Linked DNA regions of Lonchura striata. The protein of the gene in region 3 purifies or fractionates together with the protein of the main gene of each other region. This does not show direct contact. Links are inferred from orthologs where the notes say so. Each region holds a gene or a part of one and is shown on either strand. Other genes may lie near its edges. The genes, in order: LIG3, CHD1L and APLF.

The links.
Region 1: the proteins of APLF (region 3) and LIG3 purify together in Homo sapiens (affinity purification with mass spectrometry; 3 studies listed by BioGRID and IntAct, counting the BioPlex papers as one, with this or other methods). This does not show direct contact. The link is inferred for Lonchura striata from reciprocal best matches to the Homo sapiens genes APLF and LIG3.
Region 2: the proteins of APLF (region 3) and CHD1L purify together in Homo sapiens (affinity purification with mass spectrometry; 4 studies listed by BioGRID and IntAct, counting the BioPlex papers as one, with this or other methods). This does not show direct contact. The link is inferred for Lonchura striata from reciprocal best matches to the Homo sapiens genes APLF and CHD1L.

What each region holds. Positions count from the first base shown.
Region 1 is NC_134622.1:6,056,694-6,066,981, reverse strand, and holds the start of LIG3 (DNA ligase 3), read left to right. Parts: upstream 1-6,033; 5' UTR 6,034-6,139; intron 6,140-6,345; exon of another isoform or gene 6,346-6,377; 5' UTR 6,378-6,396; coding exon 6,397-6,937; intron 6,938-7,416; coding exon 7,417-7,533; intron 7,534-8,374; coding exon 8,375-8,572; intron 8,573-8,943; coding exon 8,944-9,095; intron 9,096-10,002; coding exon 10,003-10,169; intron 10,170-10,288. UniProt on the Homo sapiens protein: Isoform 3 functions as a heterodimer with DNA-repair protein XRCC1 in the nucleus and can correct defective DNA strand-break repair and sister chromatid exchange following treatment with ionizing radiation and alkylating agents.
Region 2 is NC_134604.1:26,877,269-26,887,373, reverse strand, and holds the start of CHD1L (chromodomain-helicase-DNA-binding protein 1-like), read right to left. Parts: upstream 4,013-10,105; 5' UTR 3,976-4,012; coding exon 3,879-3,975; intron 2,297-3,878; coding exon 2,184-2,296; intron 1,436-2,183; coding exon 1,329-1,435; intron 68-1,328; coding exon 1-67. Other genes in the region: uncharacterized protein LOC110480871, read left to right, coding at 4,092-4,250, 4,333-4,389, 5,905-5,942, 7,184-7,324, 8,272-8,334, 9,498-9,618, 10,028-10,105. UniProt on the Homo sapiens protein: ATP-dependent chromatin remodeler that mediates chromatin-remodeling following DNA damage.
Region 3 is NC_134605.1:3,025,947-3,035,240, reverse strand, and holds the start of APLF (aprataxin and PNK-like factor), read right to left. Parts: upstream 3,699-9,294; 5' UTR 3,583-3,698; intron 1,500-3,582; 5' UTR 1,450-1,499; coding exon 1,351-1,449; intron 706-1,350; coding exon 579-705; intron 1-578. Other genes in the region: FBXO48 (F-box only protein 48), read left to right, coding at 4,453-4,704, 6,327-6,488. UniProt on the Homo sapiens protein: Histone chaperone involved in single-strand and double-strand DNA break repair.

The DNA.
Region 1 (10,288 bases), on a different chromosome or scaffold from region 3:
AAGGTGCTGTGGGAGCTGAATGACTTTGCATCTCAAGTACAGGTGCACTTGGGTGTAACTTAAACATAGTTTGCAATCTCTCTAAATGGAGCATTTATAGCCAATTACACTTGTCATTCACCTTGCAAATACCTCTATCTAATTTAACAGCATATGCAGCAAGCAGAAAAATAAAGGCTATTCTATTAGGTGCCAGCAGAATAGAGGTGGAGGCACCAGCTCTGTGTGTAACACACGTTTGGCAGATTTCTGAACTGAAAGAGAATGGATTCAGAGCGTGGCCTCCAATGCCCTTCTTCTCCCTGCATCACAAGCCTCCTGTCAAATGTAATTTCCTCCAGGAAGACATGTATCTAGCTGAGATTTTCCAAAACCTGTCCAAGTGATTTGGACACTCACTTCTCATTAGTATTAATAGCAAATGAGCATGAGCATCTCCTCAGTGCCTTTGGAAATCTCTGACACATTTTTATTTTGGTGGCTGTTAAATGACTCTTTGGGCAATCTGCACTAGAAATGACAAATTTCCCGTTTGTTTTTCTGCACCCGGATATTCCTAATGCCCACGTACCAAATGTCAACATTTTCCCTCAAAAAGACAGCTGAGATGTGGTGAGAGGGATGGCAGAGACAGACTTTTGCCGTGTTTGGATTAAAGGACAAAGTTCACATTCCAAAACTGTCTCCTCCACAGAGGGCTGCACAGAGCAATTTTAGGATAACACCACATTCATTGTCATCTTTTTGTCACCGCCCTAGGCGGGGATGTCACTGCAATGGGAGCAGGGATGCAGAGGAGCTCCGTGGCTCTGTGTCACAGGCACTGAATCACGGCAGGCCCTGGAGAATGGAACAGGAGGGAAGGAAAGGTGAACCTCTTTGGGAACACCTGGTCCATGCCCTGCAGCAGGGAACAGCTGCTCCTCTGAGATTCCCTCACATTTTCACTGTTACACCTTAGATCACATCCAGTCGCTCTCACTGTTCCGGGAAACACTAAAAAGAAAATGGGAACTGAAATACAGCTAATTATTTTTTTTAAACTGACAGCTGATTATATTACCAAACTGAGGGAGCAGGAGGAGGCTTGTAAGAGATTTCACTCCTGTTATACCCAGCTTCCACTTTTCACCCCCACAAAAGGCAGAAGAAAGCCTTCCAAGCCACTTCTCCATCCAAAACAATGCAAATCCCTTCAGACTGGACCATGGAGCTTTTCCTTTCCAAGCCCTTCCTAAAGTCAGACTTACCAACGAACATAAATGCAAATAAGTAACTAATACTGAGCTCTACAAATCCATTTTACATGGCTTCTTGATCTGTTATTTAACTGACATGCCTTCCCTTTTTGCCAAACGTATTTCATGCATATATGTCTGTTTCCTATAATCTTTTCCATTTCTCTTATCGCTTGTATTTTAATAAAACCACATGTACAGATTCAGTATCTTCTTTAGCAGCCAGAGAGGGAGATATATTTGTTCACTGGGGTTATTAAAATTCTAAATATCTTCCTTCTTTTATTTGATTTTAGTGAGATTCCAGACATTTTCTCAATACCAAGAAGATTGGATTCATTGGAATATAACTCTGACAGAAGTCTTGCAAGGAAACTTTAATTTTAGTCCAAACTCCATTAATTTAAGATATCCCTAGAAGATCTGGACAAGGTGAACCTTTTTTTATGAACTATTTTCAACCCTGGTTTAGGATGAAGCTATTTTTTTTTTCCTTCTTAACACTGAAGAAAAAGCCTAAAAGCAAAACTTGAGACCATTATTTTGCTTTCATATATATCTTAATTCCTGACAGAACTCCTGATGGCCGCTTTGCTTAAGCAAGGACAGACTTAGACATTTAAATCTGACTTTTTGGGTGTTATCTTCCTGCTGCTAGTGGAATAAACTACTTAAAACAGAGTTCTGCTTTCGTGGGTGCCTCTCTACTGCTCTGTCATTGCTGCCTTTTGCATAGAGAGCACATTATGGTAAGAGGCTCAGCTCAGCAATTCCAGTATTTGCTACCAAGGGAGACTCCAGCAGTGATTTCTCCCTGATCCTTGGTGAAGGAGCAGGGATTTGTCTCCTGATTTTCCATCAGTGAACTCAGTGACCTGTGGTTTTGTGGATAGATTCACTGGACATATTGTTCTACTCACAGCTTTTTGAAGGTACATCCAGCCAAAAGGGGAGTTGAAGGAGTTCATTCCAATAAGACTCTAAAACCCAAAGTATTCACAGAAATCACAGAATGACTAGATTGGAAGATACCTTCAAGATCATTAAGTCCAGCCCAGCCCCAACACCTCAACTGAACCACGAAGTAATGTTAATTATTCCCCTTGCACACAAACCTTCCCACCCACAATAAGAACAGTGGATTCACATTGATTTCAGGGGAAGAATGTGCTTGCAGAGAACATTTAGGAGCAGTGACCAAAATCAGGGCCTGACAGGCCACTTGGAACTTTCTTATCACTTCTTAATGCCATCTCAGAGCTGTTAGCCACAAAAAAAGATGATAAGATCCAACTGAAACAGGGTAGATTTACAGTAGATATTGGAAAGAAACTGTTCCCTGTGAGGGTGGGGAGGCCCTGGCACAGGGTACCCACAGGAGCTGTGGCTGCCCCATCCCTGGAAGCATTCCAGGCTGGGTTGGACAGGGCTTGGAGCAACCTGGGATAGTGGAAGGTGTCCCTGCCCATGGCAGGGGGTGGAACTGCATGAGTTTAAGGTCCTTTCACACCCAAACCCTTCTATGATTCTACAAAGAAACAAGGTTCAACTTTCTACCAATTCCTTTGGAGCCACATTAGAAAATCAGCAAAATTAATGCTCTGGGCTGCAGAGTCTTCATCTCCTTCTCAAGAGGAGGAAAACTGGCATTGAGAGTGCACCAGCTTTGCTGCTGTCATTCCCAGGCCTCTCCAAAACAACCCAAACCAGCATTTGTGTGTGTTTCTCAGAGAGGAAATTTATCTAAAACTCCCAGTTTCTCACGGCAGCCTTCTGCCACCTGCCTGTGCTCGCTGCATCTCTCACTGCCCGGCCATCAATCTCCAGTCCTGCACCACTCTGCAGAGGGGCAGCCTCCTACTCCCCTCCTGTCCCTGCTGCCATGCAAACCCCTCCAGGCTGAAAGGAGCCAGCAGCAATTCATCTCACCTCATTGAGGCTTCTGAAATGTTTCTCTGCTGCCTGAAGGCTCTGCCTGTTTAGCTCATTTAGCTGACTTTTAGAGTTAGGGCAGCAGATCCCACAACTGCCAGGTTGCTCAGTTGCCTTATTTATTATTATATATCATTTAAACCTGATCATGAGGTGCTGCAGTGTCAGCCCTTGCCTTTCCATCTCTTTCACCAGGCTCACAATGAATGGGACACCTCACCACGGTGCCATGAACTCTGTGCTCCCAGCAAGCTCTCTCTGAACGCTGCACATCACAGCATCTGAACACCTCATCTTCACCTGGTTTTTGTTTTCTTCCCCTCTAAAATCCCTGTGTTCATACAAATTCCTGCACCCACTCACTGCTGGTTCTGTAAATCATTTCTCAAAGCAATCTGAACTACTAAAAATCAAATCACATTGAAGTCACACATTAAAATTTTAATCCAAATGCACTCAGCCAAAAATCTGGAGCGTGGTGGTCATCTGGGTGCCTTCCACATAAAGTCCAGAGCAGGAAGACCTCTGTGAATCCCTCTGCAATTCCTCTTTTGTGACTCAAAGCTCCCAGTTGGATTTGGTTGGATGAGCTTTCTTGTTTCTTTGGTTTTGCGGTTTCCTCCACTTCTGAGCCATGAGGGACAGGAAGGTTCATTTCCATCATGAGCTTATGGATTGAATGCATTGCCTGAGAGTAAATATTGCAATGTAAAATATTGCAAATGAATGCAGGCTGTCTGTGCACAGCCAGATCCCAGTGATCAGAAATGCCTATGTCGGATTTCATCCCAATTTTGTGACCAGGCACAATTGTTACACTCACTCCCAGCTCCAAACAGTGTGGTTTGTTTGATGTGCTGGGGAGAAGACTGCCTGTAGCTTGCTTTAAAACCAGCTGGAGGCCAGCAAAAAGACAGATATGTGGCTGGGGAAGCAAATTCTCTACCTTATGTCTCATTCTGCCTTTGAGGTCAGAGACTTGGCCATGTCAACCCACACAGCATCCTTTCCACGGATGAAGGTAGGAATCCAGTGGAGCTGTGTACTGCATCTGTTCCAGCCTCCTCAGCAGCCTCCTGGCACAGCACAACAGCACTTCCACCAGAGGAACAGGGGTGGCTGCCACCAGCAGAGAGCCAACAGCTGGGCTGCAGGTGTGTGTTTACCTGTACTGGGATGAAGGGCTGTTCTCAGGAGCCTGGGGTGGTACAGCAGCACCTCAAACCCACACAAACACAGTGCAAAGGACAATTTTAAGAGATTATAAGGGCAGCACTTCAGGCCTGTGCAGGTACTGAGGGCCCAGGTGATATGGCAGCATCTCAAACCTGCACCAGCATGGCATAGTACCCCTGAAGGGACAGCTTCATGAGGCTGGGGATAAAGCAGTGGCTCAGTGCACAAACACGGTGTTAGAACTCTTGGAGGGACCACTTCTATGGCCAGGTGATCCATCAGCACCTCCAAGCTGTGTTAATGCAGCACAGCACTCTTGGTGAACCAGTGTGCCTCAGCCAGGAACAGGGCACCGCTCACACCTGCCTTTTCCAGTACTCTGGAAAAGCCAACTTTGGCAGGTCGGGAAGTCATCATCACCTCAGGGCAGGGGACACTGCTGCAGTGGAGTCAGCCCTGTGGGGGGGACCAGCCATCACCTCAGGGCACGGACCTGGGACTGCCTGAGGCAGAGACCCTCCATTGCCGCAGGTGCAGAACCCCATTGCCTCACGGCACAGAGCGGGGCACAAACCCTCCATGGCCTCATGGCACAGAGCGGGGCACAAACCCTCCACTGCCTCATGGCACAGAGCAGGGCACAAACCATTGCCTCACGACACAGAGCAGGGCACAAACCCTGCATTGCCTCACGGCACAGAGCAGGGCACAAACTCTCCACTGCCTCATGGCACAGAGCAGGGCACAAACCCTCCACTGCCTCATGCACAGAGCGGGGCACAAACCATTGCCTCACGGCACAGAGCGGGGCACAAACCCTCCATTGCCTCATGGCACAGAGCAGGGCACAAACCCTCCATGGCCTCATGGCAGAGTGGGGCACAAACCCTACATTGCCTCACGACACAGAGCGGAGCACAAACCCTCCATTGCCTCACAGCACAGAGCAGGGCACAAACCCTCCATTGCCTCACGACACAGAGCGGGGCACAAACCCTCCATTGCCTCACGGCACAGAGCGGGGCACAAACCCTCCATGGCCCCAGGCGCTGTCCCAGTGCCGCCCCACAGCACGGACCCTTCCCCACCTCGGGGCGGGGAGCCGCTGCCAGCTCAGGGCACAGTCCCTCCATCGATCGCCTCATGGAGGGGGAACTCTCCGTTGTCCCAGGGCGAGGACCCGGTGCCACCTCTGGTCCTGGTCCCAGTCCCGTCCCAGGGCACGGACCCAGTGCGAATCCAGGGCACTGGATTCTCTTCCTGGCCCCAGGTGCGGTCCCGGTGCCACCTCAGGCACGGACCCGGTGCTGCCCCGGGCGCGCTCCCGGTGCCGCCTCAGGGCACGGACACTCCCTGGCCCCGGGCGCGCTCCCGGTGCCGCCCCAGGGCACGGATCCGGTGCTGCCCCGGGCGCGCTCCCGGTGCCGCCTCAGGGCACGGACCCGGTGCTGCCCCGGGCGCGCTCCCGGTGCCGCCTCGGGGCACGGACCCGGTGCTGCCCCGGGCGCGCTCCCGGCGCCGCCTCAGCCGCGCCCGAGGCGGGAAAACGCTCCCGGCGCGCGCTGGGGGCGGGGCTCAGACGGGCCGATGGGGCGTGGCCTGAGCGCGCCCCCGCGGCCGCCGCTCGGGCAGGAAGGGGCGGGGCCGGGCGGCGCGCGCGGCCCTACGGAAGCCGGGCCGGCGCGCTCGTGTCCCGGCGGCGGCTGAGGCGGCGGCCCCGGCCTGAGGGGCTGCGGGCGAGCCGGGGGTCCGGACGGGGCGGGGGACGGGATGGCGGCACCGTGAGGAGCTCGGTGAGCGGCGGAGGGGCAGCGGGAGCCCGTGGTCGCGCCGGGGAGGGCAGGGCGGGAAAGCGGGCTCGGGGCGAGGCTGTGGCGGGAGAGGCCTGGGAGCGAGGAGGGGGCCGTGAGGGGCCGGGCTGTGGGGCAGCGCAGCGCGGGCGGTGGCGGCCGCTGCGGAGCGGGGGTGAGGGCTGGGTTGGGCGGGTCCCGGCGGGCAGGGGGTGCTGAGTGTCGCCTGTGTCGCTCGCAGCAGCCTCGGCGCGGACTGGATGCCCGCGGGCGGCCGGGCGCTGTCACACGCCGCCCGCGCTCTCGGCCGGGCCGCAGCGCTGCTCTGCCCCCGCCCGCAGCTCCCCTCGGCCGCAGCGTTCTCCCGCTCCGCCGGAGGCAGCCCCGGGTGCTGGTGGCAGCTGCTGCTCCAGCCTGTCCCTGTGCCATCCCCGAAGCAGCGCGGAGGTGCCGGCGCGTCCCCGCTGCCGCTCCCGCTGTCCCCGCTGCGCTCGGCCTGCGCGGCCGCGGAGGACATGGCAGAGCAGCGGTACTGCGTGGACTATGCCAAGCGAGGCACGGCGGGCTGCAAGAAGTGCAAGGAGAAGATCGTGAAGGGGATGGTGCGCATCGGGAAGATCGTTCCCAATCCTTTCACCGAGTCCGGAGGGGACATGAAGGAGTGGTACCATGTCAAGTGCATCTTTGAGAAGCTGGACAAAGCCCGGGCCACTACTAAGAAAATTGAGGATATCACAGATTTGGAGGGGTGGGAAGAGCTGCAGGATGAGGAGAAAGAAACAATCAACAAGTACATCTCAGGTGAGGCACGAGGCAGTTCCAGGGTCACTTTCCTCCTTATTTTCAGGTTATGCCAGAGGTTGTTACCAGCTGTGCCTTTGCCATTAAATCCTCGTGGATTTATTTGTGTGGCTTAGGGACAAAACATGTGCTGCTGTTCCAGCCCCTGCCTCAGCTGTGTAAGAAAGGGAAGAAATGGTCACTTCTGCAGTGACACTCCTCAGTTCGTTTGTCACAACTAGTTCTGGACAAGAGCTATGTGATTTATTTCATAAGCAAATAAAACCCATGGTGAATCATCAGTTATTTTCCATTTCCACATTTTTCTGTGATCTTTAATAAATTACATATTCTTCTAACTTTTGTTACCTGAAAAACATCTTTTTTTTCTCCTCCAATTCCCATTTCTTTTAAGGCTTTTTACTTTGTAAGCCACATAATATGGTGAGTGATGTATGAGATTATTCCTGACTGCCTCTTTGAACCTTTCTGCTTTCCAGAAGCCAATTCCAAGACTGGAGGTACCCCAAAGAAAAAGGTGATAGTGCAGGCAAAACTCACTGCCACAGGACAGCTGACCACAAAAGATCCACCAAAGAAATTCTCTGGATTCAGTGGTAAGAATTAAGAAATGGTTCTGAGAAATTCATTTTTTTAGTCTCAGCATCAAGAGGTGTTTCTGCTTGGCTCAGATCAGTAGGTTTTTATCTATAGATGATTCTGGTTTGTCAGTGCTTTCTTAGGCTGTCAGTCTTGAAAGAACATCTTGAAAGATGTGTGGATCTCCAGTTTTCCCAAGGAAACAAAGGTTCTGCTATGACCCACATTGTCAGGCTGACTGGCTCATTGCAGTCAAACTGAAGACATAGGCTAAAGTTATCCCACGTGGAGCTCAAAATCTGGAAAAAAACTGCTGAGGGATTCTCAGTTGTGTTCATGGAAAACTTGTCCTGAGGAGCAGGACAGTCCATCTTCCATCTGTGAGCTCTGACTGACCTGACACCCACCTGGAGCCACAGCAGAGCCAAAGACATCAGTTCCTTAGGGATTGGTGTTAGGAGAGGATGGGGATGTATTCCCCAATTTTAGAAATTACCTTAGAGAAGTGTTTTGCTTTGAAGGCTAAAAACCCATAAAATAGAAAAAAAAATCTCTAAAACAGAGGCATCTGGAAGGAGAAATTAATTTTCACCATGACTTAGCCATACTTTTCTGGTAGAACCAAGATCTAGGAAATTCTGGTGTGATGTGAAGGGTAAAAATAATTGGAAGGTTTTTATAAAAGTCATAGTTGGAAGGTTTTTATAAAAGTCATAGTTGGAAGGTTTTTATAAAAGTCATAAATTTTAGCTCTGAAGCTTCGCCAGCACACTGGGATTGTTCCCAGCTTGCCAGGCAGAGATAATTTCAACATTTGCTCCGTGTTGTTAAAAACAACTTGTGGTGTGTTTGATGCAGCTAAGCCCAAGAATTCAGAAGATGCCCCTGCAAACCCTGCCCAGAAGCCCAGCCTGTCTGCAGCCAGGTGTGATCCCAAGCACAAGGACTGCCTGCTGCGGGAATTCCGCAAGCTCTGCGCCATGGTGGCTGAAAAGCCAAGCTACAATGTGAAAACTCAGATCATCCAGGACTTCCTCAGGAAGGGATCTGCAGGAGGTATGGCTCCAGCTGGGAATTCTCAGCTCTCTCAGAATCAGTTTCAAAGGCTGATCTCTAAAGGAAAGGGGAAATTCAGATCTGTTGTGTGGTCCTAGCCTTGTGCTGTGGTGATTTCTGAACTGTGGTGGTAATCTTTGAAAAGTGAACTCCTTAAATAGTAAATTCAGACAAAAATTACTCACTTGGGTGCTGTAGGTGCCAAATTTAGTGCTGAGGTCAGATTTAGAGGCAAATTGTGGCTATTTTCCCTAAGAATTCCAAGCTACAACTGTGGATTTTATCCCCAGGGTTTGGACACAGCCAGCCAGAGCCTGGACATGAAAATAAATCCTCACTGCTATAATGTGCTTTTTTTTTTTTTTTTCCAGATGGTTTTCATGGTGATGTATACCTCACCATTAAGATGCTGTTACCAGGTGTCATTAAAATAGTTTACAACTTGAATGATAAGCAGATTGTAAAGCTGTTCAGCAGGATTTTTAACTGCAACCAGGAAGAAATGGTCCGGGACCTGGAGCAGGTGAGTGCAGAGAGCAGCTCTCTTAATTTCTGCTGTTCAGCTATTTGCTTATTCTGTATTGAAATTCGGTAATGATTTAGGTTTTTTACTCCTTAGCTTGACTGTTAGAATGGGAGCTGGTGATTTATTTTGGTTTTCCTTGGCTTTAGCAGTGCTCATAGCATTTTCTGCCATCTGGAACCTGTAAAAAACCATGTTTGAATGGAAAGCAGGATAAGAATTCATCTGGCAAAGCTTTAGAAAGCAAGACTGAAATTATCTAGGCAAGGTGGGCCGGATCTCTTTGTATAAACTGCTTTGTCTGGCACATTGCTACAGAACTGAGTTATATTACTCTTTTTGTACCATCACATATCAAAACCTGGGATTCAATTAACAGACCTGTCACTGGCAGCTGCAGGTGGTTAATACAATTAAGCTGCTACAATTGCAGGTGCTCAGTTGCGCATTGAGTCCCTGTGCAGAGGAGCTGGTGATTGACTGTGCACCCTCTGATTCACTGCAAGGTGCAGAAAAGGGGTGAATTAGATAAAAAAGTAATTCTTTCATCTCTGTTCATTGCCTTGCTGTGTGCTGCCTTCTAGTGACATCACTAGCCTGGCCCACGTCCTTGGATTTACAAGTGGATTCATCCCGAGAAAATAAAGGGTCTATGCTGCTGCAGCAGTGAAAAATAAGAGCCATGAGATGATGCTGGTACTCTTAATTACCTTTCTTGGCAAATTAAACAGCTGAGCAGCTTTATGTGTCGTGGCAGCTTCCTTAAGTGTTTGATTCTGATTTCTTCATGCAATCCCAGCATCACTCCTATCCTTTGTCCTCACTGGAACCATGCAGAATCCCCAGTAGCACCCCCATTCTCTGGCCATTGCTCTCATCCACACCCTGGTGTTGTTTTTGGAGACAGGGAGATGTTTCTGAGACCATACGGATCTTCTTCGAGCAGAGCAAGACCTGTCCTCCAGCAGCCAAGAGCCTCCTGACCATCCAGGAGGTCGATGAGTTCCTCATCCAGCTGTCCAAGCTCACCAAGGAGGATGACCAGCAGAGTGTCCTGCAGCAGATCAGTCGCAGGTGAGGGAAGGAACCAGCCTCTGGATGTTTGCCCAAGCACTGGAGTGGTTCTCTACAAGCTGGAGTAGTTGAAAAATTAATCCTGAGTCACCACTGAACTTAATTAGTATCTGTAAGGT
Region 2 (10,105 bases), on a different chromosome or scaffold from region 3:
CTCTTGCAGTTTGGGTCGCTCTTCCTTGCTGCCTACATAGGATATGAAAGAAAGACCAGGAGCAAACCTGTTGTTAAGAGAAAGACAGAAAAAACAGTGAGCCAAGCTAAGTCTTTTCATGTGTTTATGACCCTGGACCTCACTGCACAGATGATGAGAATTCCTGTCCAAACACCCTACACTCCTGTGAGATGTGTCTGGCTCTCAGCTTTTGAATCTCACTCCTCCATAATTTTCACCTCAGGTTGGCACTTCCACTGTTGGCTGTGGTTTCAACAAGTCCTAAATAAACCTGCATTCTTTTAGGTGTAAGAGTCCAAGGCAGATGATTCAAAACCAGTCTCATGACCTAACTGCTATTCTGAACTGAAAAATGTTCATAAGAAGCAGGTGAATGAATACAGTTGGCCCATATAAGGCCAAAGAATTGGCCTAAATAATTCTAAAATAAAGACAAAAATGTTTGCAGCAAAGAGGTCCAAGTCAGGGTCTCAAATATATTCTCTCAGTCAAAAATCAGTTCCAATTGTAGGGACCATAAAATTTCTCCTAATTTAATCCCATCACTATTATTTACCTAATACTCCTTCTGGAAAGCTGCACTGTTGATCTATGAAGGACTGCAGTTTCTCCCAACTATTCCAACCCAAAATCTATCCATATCAGGCCAGCTCACTTCAGAATGTAACCTGCATGACTTCAGATGCAGAGAGACAGCATCAGCTGACAGCCACACAGACAGACTTCTGTTCTAACCTTTAACTTCTAGCCCTTCCTCTTACAAAGAGTCTGTGGGCTACAGACCAGAAATGTACATATTTCAGGCACAGCAGATACACATCAGCACTGTCACCCCAGTGAGGATGGGCTGCATGCACAGCTGTGATGTATTTTGATGTATTGTGTGTGATGTATTTTGTGTGCATATGTAAGCATGCCCCCAAACTTGGGTCTTACCTTTTATTATGAAGATTCCTAGCTGTCTTCAGCAGATTTTGCCTAAGAGAGGCTGAGCAGGGAGGGTTGCAAATCAATAAAAAGCAAGGAGCTAGTGGAAGCATTTAGACTGAAAGTCAGCCAATAATATAGGATGGATGGGTTCATGTATACCACAGCATTGTAAAGACTATGCATTAACTGCATAGTCTGCATTGATTTGTTGGCTTAGTAGCAGCTTCCCTTTTTACTTTCTTTCCCTTTGAAAGGATAAAAAGGAAGTATTGGAGTGAGCACATTTGAAAACAATCTCTGCAATCTTGCAACTTGCAAACCTTGCAATTGCAAGTATGAGCAATAATACAGTAAACCAGACAACTGTTGAAACTTACCTCTCCAGCTCTTCCTTCCAGTTGCTCAGAACTGACAGAGGACAAAGTATCAGAAATCTCTCTTTGTTTGATAACTTTTTTGTCAAATAAAGAAGTAGAGAAATGGTCTAAAAGGCAAGGAAAATATTTTTTTATAACAAGGGAAGGGTTCAACCCGATAGCCTGATCCTACATAGCTGTCTCCTTGCTGAGCTTTGCAGATAGTTTCCATAGGTTCATTATCACAAATCAGAGTTAAGAGAATATCAAGTGGGATACAGACAAAAAGGCTTAAATCCTAAAACATGACCTCCATATATGAAGCCCCTTTCTTGCACAGTCACAAACCTGGTCTACCATGCATCACTTTCTAAAACTATTTGTAATTTAAGCCCTATTGAATAAAATCAGCTGATCCAAAGCACAGTCATTTTCCAAAAAAACTTAAACCCACTGAAAAACTTTAAAAAAATCCAACAAACTTCTGAAAAAATTAGACTTATACATTTTAATCCATATGCTGACAAACACAAAAACCCCCTGGTGCAAGTGCATCAAAAGGACATTATTTTGCCTGTACTGGCTGTGTATTGTGCCTTCAGCTCTGCACACTATGAATTATGCATTAAGATGTTTGGATAAAATGGCCACTCGTCTTTTTACAAAACCCTGAAACCCATTTGGTGTTACACAGGACTTAACTCAGGACTGGTTTTAAGTGGTTAAGGACTGAAAGAGACAATGAGCTCTCACTTGAGTATGGAATTCTGAAGGAGTGGGGGGGAATCAGTAAGGTACTTTTTCAATTTGCAGAAATACTAAGCTAAAACCCCAAAAATTTAAGCAAAGATAATTTTCCAGAAGAAGAAGACACACCTGACAAGTCTTCCCAAGGCCCATCTCATCACCCAGGATACAGCCATGCTGGACTTCATAGCATTGCACCAGCCAGTTTACACCTTCTAATTGATAGGGACGAAGTTTAATGCCTGGGAATAAAAGTGATTTGTTACACTTACAGTCACTTAATGCATTCCATACACACACTAGGAACAGGTCCTGCCCAGAACATATGCCTTACAGGAAAAGCACAGCAGCATTCAGAAGAAGCTAGTTTACCTTCCTGGATAGCAAAGACCCCAATGTAATTGCAATTAAATTAAAGTATATTCAGAAACTTGCACAAAAATGCCCTGAGCCATGGCAGTCAAGGAGCCATCCTTGACTGTGCAAAAGACCTGACCTAGTAATTAGGCTGGTACTTTGCATTCCTAAAAGAAAGCTTAATTTTCAGCCTGAATCACTTTTTAAAATATTAAAGTAAGTATTAGAGCCAGGGACATGCTTTAGGCTACCAGAAATACTTCTCACAATCTATTATTGTATAATAATAATTTCTTAACAAGATGTTTTCCATTTTTCTCTACTTAAAGCCAAAGCAGACCTCCACTATAGGCCACTATGACTACTACCACCATTGCAATCCTTACTATGGGGCATGATATGTCAAAATGAATACAAAACAAATCACATAGGAGTTGGCAAGACCTTTCCTTGTGCTTGGACTCAAGTGCTGTGTATTCTGGCATTGCTGCCCTCTCCTCCCTGGGAAAATGTGCACACTGCGTGCATGAAGTAACTCACCAGCCCGCAGGCTACACAAACCCAAACCAGCCCAGGGACTGAGGTGAGGACTTCCAGCACCTAAGGAAAATGTGTGGGCAGGATGGATTGCCCTGGCGTTCCCCTTTAACATCACCCTCCAGGCAGCCGAAAGCACTTTAATTGACATCCACTTCCAGGCCACTGAATAGGCCAACCCTTGCTCACCTTATCCCCGAAGCACAGAGCTGCCTGAGGCTGTGCGGAGGCACCAGGAGGGTTTAAGCCAGGCTCAGCCCTGGCCCAAACACCACCTAGCCACAAAGCCAGGCAGAGGGACTACAGCACCCAGGGAAGGCTGGCACAGAGTATGGCAGCAATGCCATCTCTGCAGCAACTGCAGCTCACTTTGACACGCTTGGGAGCCAATTTATTTGCACCTTTATTTATTTCCAGCCTAGGGGGGGTGTTAGTACAGAGCTCAGACAACTCAGAGAACTGAGGTTGTCCAGGCTGGACAACAGAAGGTTTCCTGGTGACCTACTTGAGGCCTTTCAGGAACTTTCAGGAAAGATGGGCAAGACTGTTTACAGGAGCCTGCAGTGACAGGACAAGAGGGAATCTGTTCAAATTGAAACAGAATATATTTAGAATAGACATTAGCGGAAAAAAAATCTTTACTGTGAGGATGGTGAGCCACTGGAACACGTTGCCCAAGGAAGTTGTGGATGTCCCATCCCTGGAGGTGCTCAAGGCCAAGTCGGATGGGGCTTTGGGCAACCTGGTCTAGACGGAGGCGTCCCTGCTCACGGCAGGGGGGTTGGAACTGGATAATCTTCAAGGTCCCCTTCCAACGCCAGCCATTCAGTGAGCTGGGCAGCCCCAGGCAGCGCGGGCCCCTCCCGCCACCTCTGACAGCACCGCACCGCTCAGGCTCCCTGCCGCCCCTTTCCCCCGCTCCCCGCTGACCTGTCAGCCCCCACCGCTGCACGTCCGCCTCCTGCACGCCCGCAGCCCCGGCCCGGGCGCCGCCGGCGCGGCGGAGCGCCCGGGAGAAGCGGGACATGGCGGGGCGTCAGTCACCGCTCCGCCGCGCGTTCCCGCCGCCCGAGCCCGGCTGCGGGCGGGGCCAGCCCCGGCTCCGCCCCGGCAGCGGGAGGGCTCGCCCGAGGGAGCGCCGCGATGGCGCCGCTGCTGCTGCTGCTGCTGCTCGCGTCGCTGCTGTCCGCCGCCGCCGCCGCCTACCTGTGCTGCGGGCGGCGGCACACGGGCGGCGCGGCGGCCGTGCTGCACCGCCGGGGGCCGCGGCAGGCCGGGCCGCCGGGCCCGCCCCGGGACACCGTGAGCGCCGGGCCGGGCGGGGGGCGGCGGGCGCGGGGCGGCGGGGCCGGCGCTCACCTCGCTTCTCGCCTTCTCTCCGCAGTGGGCTCCGAGGCTGTGCGGCGCCGGGCTGCGCCTCTTCGTCCATGTGGCTAACACGGTGAGTGCGGGCCGGGGCAGTGAAACCCGGGGCCGCGCGGGGAGAACCGGGCGGGGGCTCCGGGGCGCGCCGCGGTGGTTGTGGCTCTCTGCGGGCTCTCGGGTTCACCGGGCTCTATAGGTGCGGTGCCGTGGCACTGCGAGCGCCGGCCTCTGGCTGAGAGAGTCCTGTGTGTCTTCGGGTGTGGAGAGCCCAAAGCTGACATCAAACTCGGAAGAGAGCTGCCGGCCGCGCTCCTTGGCCGCCGAAGGACTCGTGTCCCTCAGCCCTGTGAGGGGGTCCCTGCAGGCTGCTGAAGGCAGCGGCGCTCCCCAAGGCTGGGCTCTGGATGTCCGGGAGCCGGCGGGCTGATCCCGCTGCGGCACTGGGCCTCTCGGTGTCGTGGTGCAGAGGGGACAAAAGTCTGCATCCCCTGCGCACTGCCCACCTCGCACCTGCTTCTGCTGGCAGCAGCTGGGTCTATGCCTGCTGCTGTTGCTCGGCCTTTCCTTTTGAGCGAAGTAGGCACAAAAGTTTCTTTTCAGCCGTGGCACCTGTTACAAAGCTTGGTGTCCGTCTGGGCCTGGCGTGAAATGCTTGATGGGCTGTGTTTATTTGTGAGAATACCTTAGGAGTGGCTTTCTGTCAAGATGTAATAAGCAGAGTACTTTGTTGTCTTTCGTTTTGTGGCTGCTTCTGATGCATGGCAGAGGGCTTCTTTCCTTTCCCAATACCTCACTTGAAGGGGAATGTGAGATGTTAATTTTCCTACTGGATTGTGCTGTGCTAGGTCAGATGTAGATTAGGAACCATGTGTTTTCAAAAAGGTCTGTAATTCTTATGCAGTGCGTGAGGTGACGTGCTGCTTTGTGGGACTGGCAGTGTGAGCCTTGCCTCAGACTTGTACTGTATTTGTACATCGTACAACATGTATCTGAAGTCCATTGTTAAGATATTAAGACAGGCCAGAACAAGGCTGGTCTCTTTGGGACTGTTGATGCTGCTACTCTGGGAGCCAGGGTATGGAAAGATTGTTTTCTGCTGTCTGCTACCATAGAGTTTCTAAATTTCTCACACTTTTCCAAGTTGACTCATGTTACTGTGGGAGCTGGTTGAGAGATAGGCAAGGTCCTAATAGTAAATAAAATAATAAGCTCCTACCTTATCCAATGTTTGCATAATCTGTGGAACATGATGAAAATAACGGATGGGAGCTATATAGATGCTTCTTAACAGTGTTGCATCTGCAGATGCAGGCTTTCTGTAGATGCAGGGAAAGATAAAGGCAGAGGAATCAGAAGAATACTCTTTTTATAATTATATAAATATGAGCAGTGGAGGGAAAGTGTTTCAGGCCATTTTTTTGGTGTAGAATACAAATGTTTGTGCTGTTTCTCTACTGCATAGCATTGTATGTTCTCTAGCGTACTCTGAGCCTGTGGCAATCATGAGCATATTCAGCATTCCTTATCTAGTGAAAGAAGGTGTCAGGTCAAAGTTGCTGCAAACCAACATTTTTGCTTCCTTTTTTCCTAGGCTTTTGGGCAGATTTGCTTATTGCCATTCTTAATGAGGTAAGCATGGGGACTTTTCTCCCACTCTGAGTTTCTTATTTTTTTAGGTTTAAGGTATTTGCATTGCACACTGCTTGTAGGTTATCTGAAATTGTATTTTTTAAAGAGAAGAGCTGCATAATTTGATTACAGAATAAGATTACTTCATAGATGTTTGCTAGATTATTTTTTTAACTACTGTCATTTGAGTGGGTCTCTATGAGAAGAAAATAGCTTTTTTCACACTCATGCAGGTGCATAGAAACTGTATTCATCAGCTTTTCTTTTTGCCTTTTGTTTGCCTTCATGTCTCTTTGTCTTTGCTCTTTTGTTAAAGGACAGTCTTTTTTTCAAGGATGGTGGATGTGCAAATATGCTGTTCTTATCACTGATAGGGTTAAAAGAATAGTAGTAGTGAGAAAGTGAGGCCAGACATAAAGTTCAGAGGTTTTGGTGAGTTCTTTTTAATTATGTTCTCTTGTTTTAGGTCAGCTTTTCTTCTTTCTTTCATATGTGTTTTTGTTCAGAAACTGATTTCAAGAACACATTCCATGAAGAGATACTTGGGTAAGAGGTTCAGGAACCTCTTCATGCTTTGTTCGTATAGTTTGCCCATCATTTGAAGGGTCATCTGTGCAGATCCCAGGACACTGAGAACTGTGTCACCCCTGAATTTGACTTGGGATGTGGGCTTTTTGAGCAAATCAAATCCAGGCAAGTGTCACTGCTATTATACTGCAGATCATTCCTGGATACCTGTGACAGGGTTTTGATCTCCTTGCTTTGCTATGGATTTATGCTGCAAGCCCTGTTGTATTTGGTTGCAAACAAATTATGTTGAAAGAGGAAATGGAAAAGTCTGAAGAGGTGCTTGTTTTAACAGGATTAGTGGTTGAATGTATGGCTTACACTACATTCTTCTTTTATTTTCCTTTCCATTCCTGTCTTGTTTGGTCTGTGTATGAGAGGTCTAATTAAAGTGAATCAAAAACTTCCACCGTTTCTTTCCCAGCTCGAGTTTACAGAGCTTTATGTCAAGAGCCTTATATCAAGAGGTAGGAGGCTTTGTTAAACAGGCAGAATAGATTTGATGCTGCCCTTAGGAAATATGCAAGAGAGATTAGCTTGTAGCTGTTGCAACTCCCTGCTGTGAAAGCAGGCTGCTAAGACAAAATGTTCTTGGGTAAGGTTCCTTCTGAACAGTCTGAAAAATTAGTCATAGTTGAGGTTGAAAACTCCAGCAGTGATTCTCTCTTATTCAGAATGAACAACTTCTCGCTTATGCGTTCCCTTGACATTCATGAAGATCCCACGTTTATCCCGGAGGTTGCTGCGGGGGTTGCAGAAGACAAGTCTGAGGCTAAAAGCCCTTCAGATGTTATCAAGGAGCTGACAGATGCAAGGTCAGTATGTGATGTGTAAGAGAGAAGTGGAGATGAATACACATGCTGGCAGTGGTACTTTAATGGGAAGCTGTCATTGTCAGCAATTTAGATTAAATTCTTGTTTCCATGCCCAGCCACTTCACAAAACAAATAGTGCTGTCAGTCATCTTGCCTTTTGTAACTTACAAATCACCAGCAATTACAAGCAATGCGAAAGAGAAAAGTCTATTGGGGAGAGACCAAATTCTGCCCTTACCAGGGCTCTGGTTGCACGATTACAGCAGGTACACTTAGTGTTTGGCTAGTTAGTAAATAGATTTCTCTAAGTGACTTTACAGGAGTGCTGTTTCTAGCCTCCAGGGAATCTCAAAGAGAACACCAGGTTTTCTTGGAGGAGAGAAGGAACACAGGTTCTAAAGAAAATAATGCACAAGAAATTAGCTTTGTTAGTGATGAGAAGTGGCCTACTGTTTATGTGCTAGAGCCATTTGGTGTTGAAGCAGTTTGCTTGTGTGTGCTGCATGGTGCCTTTTCCCACTCCTGCACTACACACCCAGATGTGCTGCTGGCTGTCTCGGGATTGAATTTTTGACAGAGGTCTGGGAGTAGGTTCAAAAGTATATTCCAGCTAGGCTATAGTGTTGTAGTGGTGAGTAGGAAGTGTAAATCTGGAATACATTTTGAACAGTTTAATGACTGCTGTATTTCAGTAGGAATATGAAGAAACTAGAACATTCTGGCAAAATTGGTCCCTTATTTCTGTGGCATCCATAGTGTGCCTGTTGCCTGGCTTGTGTGCAAGGAGTCTGACAGAGTGTGAGGGGCAATGCAGGGGTTAGCAATTCACGTGGTTTACTGTGAATGGTACCCAAATCTGCATTGGACAGTGATGCTGAAGTCTACAGGTCTGAACAAACCTGGCTTTGGTGGCTCACAGTTACACCTTTTAATCCTTTCTTTTGCAGGTCTGATTCTGCTAGGAACGGGTTTAGCTTCAAAGAGATCAAAGACTATCTGGAATGCTACCGGTAGGTGAAATTATGGTCTGGAAACAACCTATCCCACATGTTTCTCTGCTGTGGGCTGCCACTGTTCCACAGGCTCTCAGGAATCTCTTTGTTAGCATTGTCCTTGAGGTGCCATTGTTTATCATCACTTCCTGCTGTTCTTTCCCTTTAGTAGAATAACAAAGGAAAGTCATCTGGGAGAGCTGGCACAGCTTTATAAGCCCTGCAAGAATATTTAAATACCATTTTCTTTGGCTTACTCTCTGTCAGTCTTGTTCGAGAGAGATTTCTACATATCTTGTTTACTCAAACATGAGTGAGAAGTAGATGAGGGTTGATCTGGATTATGCCAGTTGTGCATACTGTGGGTCTCTGATGAATCCCTTGGTTCCCCAGCTCCCTGTGCGTCTCTGAGCATGACACCTGCTTTCACCCAGTAAACATGTCCAGCTTGGAAAGAGCTGAAAACACCCCCCTGACTCTGGGGTTCTGTGAGCTGTTGGCTGCCTGGTAATCCTAGTTGCCTCTGGGGCATGTGCCAGAAGTGGAGCCCTTGGAAAAATATCCTTGCACTCCTAGAACTTGTTCCTCAAGGGCCACCTCTGCCCAGGCTGTGGCATTGGAGCAAAGGGCTGACACTGCAGTCTGCTGTTACAGGTGCATCTTGGCTGTGAGGCTTTTGTGTCAGCCAGGAATGGTGTGTTTGTGGTGTAGCAGTCTTTGCCAGGAGGGAAGGAAGGTTTATTAAAGGTGGGTTATGACAGTACTGCTGGCAGCCCCTTCTGTGTAATGGGAGGCCTGTATAAAGGGGTCTGACCTCTTGGTCTTAGCTCATTATATTGGGAGTTTCATAGTTTCCAAGCTTTCAGGAGCTTGAGGACTGTCAAGCTGTCAGCTGTGTGTCCCTGTTTATCTGTGGTGGTTCAGGAACATTTAGGTTAAACTCACCTAGGTTTTCCCCTCCTCTAAGGAGCATTCTGTGTAGGCAAATTATCCCCTTAAGGAAAGGAATCTCCTGTCCTGATGTTGTCAACAGTGTTCAGATCATCACCACACAGAGATTCTTACCTAATTCTTGCTAAAAGCTGTGACAGCTGCCATCTTGCTGCATGGGAGACAAACCCTGTGAGTGGATATGTGAGGGGAGGTCTTATAACAAACTCCCAACTTCTCCTGTCCTGTAGGAGTGGGAAGCTGACGCCATCCCAGGTAGCCAAGAACATCATTGCCATGTTGGAGGATTGTGACAAATCCACGCCACCGCTCAGAGCCATAGTGCAATGGGACCAGGAGCAAATAATGCTGGTAATGTCTGCCTCTGGTAGGAAAGGGGCCTCTGCCACCCCAAGGGCAGTAGCATCCATAAGAAGAGCCAGTATGCACAGAAAAATAAGTAAATTTTTCATTCCTCTGTGTTTAGAGGACTACAACAAGTTTGCTTTCCTTCCTGCAAAGAGAAGTAGCATTAAAGCAATGTTTCCTGCTGAATGACTGTTTATAATAGGACTTCTGTGCTTATGTGGCATCTATTAGTGTAGATAGTTCCAAGTTGTAGTTTCTCACCAGCATATGGTGGAAGAAGAAAACTTTGATAGGCTGGCCAAGAAAGCCATTTTTAATATCCATTCCAATACTGATTATGACCTTCAGCTCAGTGAAATATATATATATATATATATAGCATATGCTTTATGCTTTTTCTTTTTCTCTGCAGATGGCTGAGGCCTCCACTACTCGTTACAGAAATAAGTGTACCCTGTCTTGTCTGGATGGCATCCCAGTGTGCCTGAAA
Region 3 (9,294 bases):
ACTAGAGTAGAGATGCTGCACAGAGGGGAGCAGACACACACTCACTAGCCACAGTTCTTGCACTTGGACTGATCAGCAAAGACACTGAAGTTTGGACTAAGTAACCAAGTTTTATTCAGCAATGATTAAAAAACTAACATGCAACACCACCCAAACCCTTCTGCCTGTAAAACCTGTGAAATTAAGAATCTAAATTTAGAAAAGCAAAACATCAGTGTGGAGAAGGCTAGGAATTAAAGAGACAGAAACTACTTAGAATTTACATACAAAATAGTCAAGTTTGTAGGAAAGGGCTCCTGAACATCCAATGCTCAGCTGTACAAACAGAGTTTATTATCTGGCATTAAAAACAAAAAGAACAGAATGAAAATTAAGTGATGAAAAAAGAGCTCTACAACACCCGTAGGACTGATGACAAAGGAGACAACAGAAGTCAGACTTTGTCAGCTGCCCCACATAGAGCATGGAAAGAGAAGTAGCAAATTATACTTCCTATCACCATCATTATAATTGTAAAAATTGTATCAAAGCACAGAAATGCACACTGGAATGCAATCATTGTCCCACTACAAACCTACCTCCTGTCAGAACAGGCTTGGAAACCCTCTGCACCAGAAGATCTCTTTCCAACATCCAGGATGGAAGCACTCTCTTTCTTTGAATAGATTTTGACTGTTTGCTTTCATTATCGTCAGACAGAGGAACCTGAAAGAACATTTACTGTTTAGTGCCTTTATCCAGTTACAGAAGAGTGGGGGGAAGCCAGACCACAGTTTGCACTCAGTTATGTCCTCCAAAAGCAGCCTGGGTAACAACCTACTTTTTGTATGGTGGCCATTGCTCAAGTATTTTACTTTTTTTTTGCAGTTTCCATCCACTCAGAAAAACAACATTTATAGGAAACTTTGTGCAGTAAAAACAAAAGAAAATAAAACAGAATATTCTTAGATATTTGGAATAAATATCTAAAAGGCTACAAACTGAAGGATTCATAGAAGAGCTTTACCACCACCTTGCTCTAGTTTCCCTACATATATAAAACAGAAAGAGCAAGTTTAACAAAAGCCTATTTGTCCAAGAAAAAAAAAGGCAAAAACCTGCAAACATAAAAGTCTTTTTTGCATTGCTACAATTTATTTCTCCAGAAAGTAATCAGATTCTAAATCTCTGAGTCACATTCATTATTTACTGAAAACAACACTATCCTTTTGGATTTCCTGAGCAAGTCCACCCCCAGGATCGCAACCACAACAAAGGCTGACATTTCATTTGTATAGAGAACATAACACCTCCTTAACTTCCAACACATGCTTACAAATATTAAACTTCATTAAAAACTTAAACACCCACCAAAAATCTGGAGGCAGCATCATTATTCCTCATTTTTGCGGCTCCCTCTACCTCAGAGCTGGAACATGCTGGTTCCATTAACAATGGAATACAGGACATCTCAACAGCATGAACAGTTGGTGCTTCTGCATCAGCCTCCTGATTTTTTTCTGACAAAACAAAAAACGATTTTATCTACTCACACGCTGCAAATATAAACATGCACTTTTGACTCAAACACAAAAGTTGGTCTGAATGTTTGCCATTAACAAATGCAGTTTGAAACTGACCATCAACATCCTCTTAGCATCAGCTTACAGAGGAAATAAATGCACCTTCCTTTTACCTCACACCTAAAGTTTTGACCAAAAGACTCTCTAATAACTGCCGACCACGACTGTGGTGTTTTGGGGTTTAAGTACATAATTTACACTGGTTGCTGCCATGACAAAACTTTGAGAAAGCTGAAACTGCATCTCAGAATTTGCTTTATGGTAAATCTTCACAACTCCCCAAAATCTGATCCAATCCTAAAAGTCAGGCAACGATTTTAGGATTTCAGGACCAGATGCCCAATGAATCAAGCAAGTTCTCCATACAGGCTATCGAGGAGACACTAGATACACCGGTGCTAGTCTCAAAAGCCTCAGTTCAGAGCCACTACGTCTAAAAAGCTTTTTAGGTTATGAAAGCACACCCAAACTGTAACTGTTTTTCTTTCAACACGTTGCCCTTACACTACTCAATGCACCAGCACAAAAGATCAGGGGAAAACGAGTCTAATTGGTGCAGTATTGCCTGCAGAGAAGCACTGGGGTGTCTCTGCCAACCTGCTGAAGACCACCCTAAGTCACGGGGTGGCTTTGTGTGGTGAAAAAATCTTCTCCTCCAACCCGTGCTTCCAAAGAGAGGCTCAGCAGTTTCTTGTTGTTTGGTCTCATGGTAGTTTATTGCAAGTTATCTAAAAGATTTTCTCCTTGGGCTGCTGTGGTTTGCTCACAGCTCAGGCAGAGGCACACACACACCCTGACATCCTCTCTGACTCCCGACTGCTTCTTCTCTCCCACCCAGGGCTGCTGCTGTCTTTTATATGGGACATTACGTGTTACATGTTTACAGTTCTTCCCCAATGCCTATTACCTATATTAAATGGTGATATTCTATCTTTTATATGGTACATTACATGTTACATGTTCACAGTTTTCCCCAATGCCTATTACCTGTATTAAATGGTGCTTTTCTACTCTAAACCAATCTGTGAGTGCCAACATCACCAAGAACATGGAGGTAAGGAAGAAGAAAGAGGGAGGACAGGGCAGGCCCAAATCCCTCCATCTTAAAACCTCTGACCCCCATGTACAAAACAGAAACCCCCCTGTACAGCACGCAAAAATTCTTCCCTCTACTTTGTAACTACTTCTACTCTAATATCTAAACTTTTGTGACTTCTTGTTCTTCCTGCCAGGCTGGTAAACTGTTCCACAGCTCAAACCCAAAATCACAGCTGTTTGCAGCTGCCTGCCAGGGTCTCAAATGCTTCTGACCTGGTCCTGGAACCTCCTGAAATGTCTGAGGGACATTTTGAGTTCTGACACCAACCCTTCCAGAACTTGCTGTACTGCAGAGAGCACACACTGACCAGCTGAACTTTCTCTTTGTCACCCTGAGAAGAGAAGCACCAAAGGCTGAGCTCTGCCTTATTCCTCCAGCTCTGCAGGGTCTCACAAAGCTCCAGGATGGGCGAGGTTCAGCAGAACCACAGCGGGACATCCAGCCCCAGCTCCCTGCTCAAGAAGGGTAATCCCAGAACACATGGCACGGGATGGCATCCAGATGGTTCTGGAGTATCCCACTGAGAGATATTCCCACTCCTCAGCCTCTCTGGGCAATCTGTTCCACGTGCAGCCACTGCACAGTAAAGAAGTTCTTCCTTATAGCCAGGTGGAACTTCTGTGCATCAGTATCTGCCCACTGCCTCCTGTCCCATAGTTCTGCACCGGTGGGCACAGCCCGGTCCATTCTTTTGGCACTTTTAGACACTTATACTGATGAATGAGGTCCACTCTCAGCTGTCTCTTTCCGAAGCTGATCAGGCCCAGCTCCCCCAGCCTTTCCTCCCACGAGAGATGCTCCACTCCCAAACATCCCCGCTGCTGGAGCCGAGCTCTCCCTGCCCCTTCCACCCGCGCCGGAGCCGCCTCGGGGCTCCAGCGGTGCCCTCGGAACCCCTGAGCGGGGCCGGGCCGGCCTCACCTCCAGGCTGCCGGAGCCGCCGGGACGGGCACGGAGCTGCTGCCGAGGGTGGCAGGGACCAGCGGGACGGGCACGGAGCTGCTGCCGAGGGTGGCAGGGACGGGCACGGAGCTGCTGCCGAGGGTGGCAGGGACCAGCGGGACGGGCACGGAGCTGCTGCCGAGCCCCGCGGGAACCGCCGGGACAGGCACGGAGGTGCTGCCGAGCCCCGCCGGGACGGGCACGGAGCCGCCGCCGAGCTTCGCAGGAGCTACCGAGACGGGGCCGGAGCCGCTGCCGAGCCCCACGGGAACCGCCGGGATGGGGCCGGAGGTGCTGCCGAGCCCCGCCGGGACGGGCACGGAGATGCTGCCGAGGGCGGCAGGGACCGCCGGGACGGGCACGGAGCCGCCGCCGAGCCCCGCGGGAACCGCCGGGACGGGCACGGAGCTGCTGCCGAGCCCCACAGGAACCACCGGGACGGGCACGGAGCCGCTGTCGAGCCCTACAGGAGCCACCGGGACGGGCGCGGAGCCGCCGCCGAGCCCCGCGGGAACCACCGGGACGGGCACGGAGCCGCCGCCGAGCCCCACCGGGACGGACACCGAGCCGCCGCCGAGCCCCGCCGGGACGGGCACCGAGCCGCCGCCGAGCCCCGCGGGAGCCGCCGCCGGCTGATGACGCGCGGCCGCCCCGTGACGCGCGGTTCCCCGGGCCGCCCGGCGGCGCCGCCTCCGCGGAGCCGAACGCGCGGAGCCTCGGGCCGGGGGCAGCGCCCCGCGGGCCCGCCCGCCCCGGGACATGGCGGCAGGCGGGCGGCTGGCACACGGCGCTGCCGGCGGCGGCCGCCCGCGCTCGGAGGGGCCGCAGTGACGCCTCGCCGCCGCGGGGATGGACCGCGGCAGCGCCGAGGGGGGAAGAGGAGGAGCGGGCGACTTGGTGTCTGCCCTTCCTCCCGAGATCAGCTGCCGGATTTTCAGCGGGCTGGACGTGGAGAGCCTGTGCCGCGCCTCCGTGGCGTGCAAGGGCTGGCACCGCCTCATCGAGGGCAGCGAGCGGCTGTGGCGGCAGCACTGCCTGGCCGTGCGCGCCGTCTGCCAGCGGGAGATCGACTGCGACCGCGGGCACGGCTACTCCTGGAAGGTAAGAACGCCTCCGGCCGCCCCACGCCGGCAGCGACACGGGCGAGGATGCCCAGGGCCAATGGAAAAGTGCAAGGAAGTGACATCAAGCCTGTCGCGCCCGTCCCGGGGTGGTGGCGGGGGATGCGCGCAGCGTGGCTCGGAGCGCATCCCGGAGCGCATCCCGGCAGGCGGACAGCTGGGAATGAATATACTGGGAATAAAGCAAGGCTGGCCCTTTTCCCACCCGGGATACAGCCTGCCCGCCTCGCATTAGTCGTCTTTCACGGGGCAAAGGCCACATTCCCGCAGGCAGGGAGAATGGACTCAACTCCGATAGGCAGCGTCTGCTCTCTGGTTGTATTTTCTGTCTTTTGTATTTTCTGCTGGTTAGGAAAGACTTCCTGAAAAAGCATCCTGGATAGCGCTGTCTCAATGCATCTCAAGTGAGACGCATTCAGGAAAAAAAAAAAAAAAGAAAAAAAAAAAAAAAAAAAAAAGGGACTAGAAAAGGAAATGTGTCACCCTGATTCTTAAAATTTTCTAAAGCCTTCTGAGTTTACATTCTGTTAGAAAACTTTCCCACACATTTTCTATAAACAACATATTCTTTTACATTCCTTCGTGAGAGTAGAGGAAGTTGACATACTAGTAGTTTGTCCAATGTCTTTGGAGAGGTGGCCCATTCACTCTCCAATCCACTGTCACCTTTAAAAAAGTATAAAAGTTGGAGTCAGAAAATAAACCTTCTTTTTTACCTTGCCATCGCAGTGGCTCATGTTGTACTTTCTCGTGTCCTATAGCAACAGAAATGAGCAGGAGTTTTTATAAACTTTTTAGAAAATCGCCCCAGATGCAGACTGCTCTGAGGAGTTTGCAGCAGGTGCAGCTTCAGAACCTGCTGGATGATCTCTCACTGATGAATCCAGCCTGGAAGCTGAGATAGATCAGAACCTGATCAGGTAGACCAGGTCACTGGTTCCACAGGTTACTCTGGGCCAGCTATAGGGTAATCTCCCACCTTATTTAAGCTGGTGTGTTTGAGGGGTGAAAAGAGAGAAGCAGCCGCAAAAGAAACAAAAGCAGCCACTGGATTCTGACATTTCAATAAATTTTCTGCAGTATGAGGCAGAGCCATGAGCAGATAGTGGTTACCCTTTCAGTGTACAGATCTTGCTACCCTAGCACAGCAATTTTCAGAACTCCCTGTGCTGATTGTCAGTTTTATCTGGAGGGGATTTGAAATACAATCTACAAACACACCCAGTCTACATTTTCTTGCCCTTAAAGGCTGGCAGAAGAAAAGAACCCAGCCGGCCTCCAAACCAAAGAAAGGTCACAACCTAAACAGAAAGTGAAAGGTGCCTTTTTTAAGGAGTAAGAGGAATTCCTGGTTTGGGTTTTCATCTTGACCACTAAAGAATTGAGGCAGGAACAGAAAAGTTGGAAGTGGAACATGTTCTGCTTCTCGGCAGCATTGCACCTTCCTGGGCTTAAGGTCTAGATATCCAAAGGCACATTCCAAATCCCAAAGGCACATTACAAATCCCTTTTCCAGCACTATTCTTCTAGTATAATCTTGCAATATTGATTGCATTTTAAATTGGTTCCTTTCTGAGATCTGTCTCTATGTTTTTCCACCAGATTACACTGTTGAGAAACTACTGGAAAAGCAAAGTGAAGCAAGAATGGCTAAGTGGGAAATACAGCAACATTCCTTCTCAATTCAGTTTGCCAGACAAAAGCATGTATCCAATGGATGTCGACACGTGGGGAGAAATCTTGGAAGCAGAACTTGAGAGATGATAAACCAGTGCTGATTCTTGCAACTCAGAAAACTTTTGCCAATAGCAGTCACACCGTTCAGCAGTTGTGAAACTGATTTTGAACTGATTATGAATTTATGATGAAAACTTCTCCAAAAGAAAGTTACGGGTGTCTTTTTTTTAATTTGCATTTTACTGTATTAATTTTATGCAAAATTCTAAAGGCAACTAAATCTTCAGTTGTAATTTATATTTATAAATTTAATGTTCTACTGCACTGTCAAAAATATGCTGATTATCGTTTCAGTTTGCACTTTTTGTTTTGGAAGAGATGATTTTTATATTATAAAAAAAAAACAAAAAAAAAAAAAAAACAAAAAAAAAAACCCACCCTAAGGTGTGTTTGACCTTTTGATATGAAATGTATTGTATCAGCAGCACATGAGAGCTTACAGAAGTAGGCTGGGGAAGGGGCAAATCCAGACACTGGAAAGAATCCTCTGGGCAGCAATGCTCGTTCCCCTCCAAGCCAAAAACGAGAGAACGAGGAGCTGAGCCCAGCCCCTCACTAAAATCTCCCCCTTTCAAAGGAAAAAAACTCCTCACCTATAAGAGTGCACCCCCTCCCCCTTGGCTACATGTTTTGTCTCTCTTAAGTACCATTATTATAATTTTTTAGGCAATAGACGGGAGAAAAATCCTTGAGAGAAAAAGGGAAACAAAAAAAAAAGAAAAATCCTAACCTCCAACAAGTGTAACTCAGAGTAAAGAGCATTCCTAAATACAGAGGATGTAGCAAAAAGATCAATTGCAAACACTGCTTCTGCTATTGTTAGCTGTTCTGCTGCAAGATTGTTAGTGCAAATTAAAGAAAAAATAAAACCAGCAGAAAAAGGCACACCCAAGCACATTGAGGGTACTGCTTCACTCCCTGCTCACAGAATGTTTTACCCTGATTGAAGAGAGTATAAAGTGTAAAAAGTGCATCTAAGTTAATAAAGAAGAAAACATTTCTAGCAGTACATTCTCTTCACCTCAAAACTGCCCCGTTTTTTAATCATAACATAGGGAAACTGCACAATAATGGATCTGGTCCCTCACCTTTCTCATCCAGCCTTCACTGTTACCTCCAGTCTGTAACTCCCTGACATTTATCCCCTATTCCTGCTCCTCTCATGCTCTTCTGCTGTAAATTCTCATGTATTTGTCTCAGGATAGCGTTTGTAAATAGAATAATATTCAAGTATGAATCCTAAAAGTTACTTCACTGTGCACTTGGCTGTAGCTTTTCCCCATTCTTGAATAAGCATTAAGAATCCTCAATATATGTTGTGCCTCTGATGAAATCAGGTGGCTGTGCCTCTTTTAATCAAGGAATTAAACATGCAGCTATGCAATTACACAAGGCCTGCATCTTTAAAGCTGGAGTAACAGTGGTGTAAATTCTTGTGAAAAATCTGTTAGTGAGGGGGAAAAAATAGTATTTAATTGCAAATCCACATAAAAACAAGGTTTTCTTCCTCTCCCCGTTCTGACTCCTTCCTTTAAGGGTTTTAATTCCCCCTGGAGATTTCATTACATCATATCTGATCATCTGTTCTTCTCTCTGCCCCTGCACCTTCTACTCAGCCTCCCATCTTTGCTGCAGGATGGATGTGTTCCCTTCCCTTAAAAAACATCCCATCCAGTTCTGTGCTCCTTGCACCTCCTGGTTTGGGCTCATCTCTTGCCCCTTCTGCTCTGCCAACAAAAGCCACTGAAATGCAAGAAATAGGAAGATTGTACCTAAATTAGCACTCATGTGGGTGTCCTTCCCCAGAAAGTGTGCTCAGCAGCTAAAACCACACGTGTAAAGCCCTCACCACCCAGGGCATGCATTAGCTACCCTCACACCTTGGCTGGTGAAACCCTTTTTCCACTCCAGTGCCTACCTCTTACCCACAGGTTTTTTTGCTGAAGTGCAAAGTTCTACTTTTGCAAACCCCATTCTCAAAGTTCTGCTTTTGCAAACCCCACTGACCTTCCATTCTCATGCCATTTTTGTGCCCCTGACACTTGGAAGGTGTCAGCTGCAGAAAGGTGCCCAGGGTGTCCATCACCTAGGCTTTGCATTAGCCACCTGTGATGTCTCAGGTTTTAGCTTTTCTATTTTTCAGATTCTGTGCTGCTTTAGTGTGCACTTTTGAGCTTCATATTAGAGGATACTAAACTCTCTTCACAGAGCAGGTAGACAAAACAATTCCTTCTCTATCTGGGGATCAAGGACAAATGTTCCAAATTTCAGGCCCAAGAGCTTAAACAACGTGTACTGAAGAGAGAAAATCAAGGAGGATGGGACTTCATGGGCTAAAGCTGTAACTGGACACTTAACTCTAATATGAAAATGAACCAGAATTTATAAAAGTGTGAGACCCCGTGAGCACTCGTGCATTTTGTGACCATTTTGGGTTCATCTTGGGTATAGCCCTGGCTGGGCTCTTGTGCTGTCCAAGGTGGATCCATTGAGGCCTTCTAATAAATCTGTGCGTCTCAGATTCAGTCAAAGGAAGAAACTGAGAGTTTCTATCCAGGCAGAGGCCTGGGAAAGAGCTGGGAAATAATGTAAATAATTCTTTATCTCTCTTGTTTTTCACATTGTTTATAGTTAAGTTCTATCACTGTGTGTCAAGCACTCTGCACCAATGCTGTGGGTTGTTTTCACTTCAGGACCAATGGATTTGATCCTTGTGAAGCTCTGTATAAAAGAGCAATGTATTTTGAATAAATTGGAGTTTTACTCTCAGCAGCCTTCTGAGTCAGAGTCTATTCATTCCTGTCCTGCCTCGACAGCGACAAATACCTGCTTT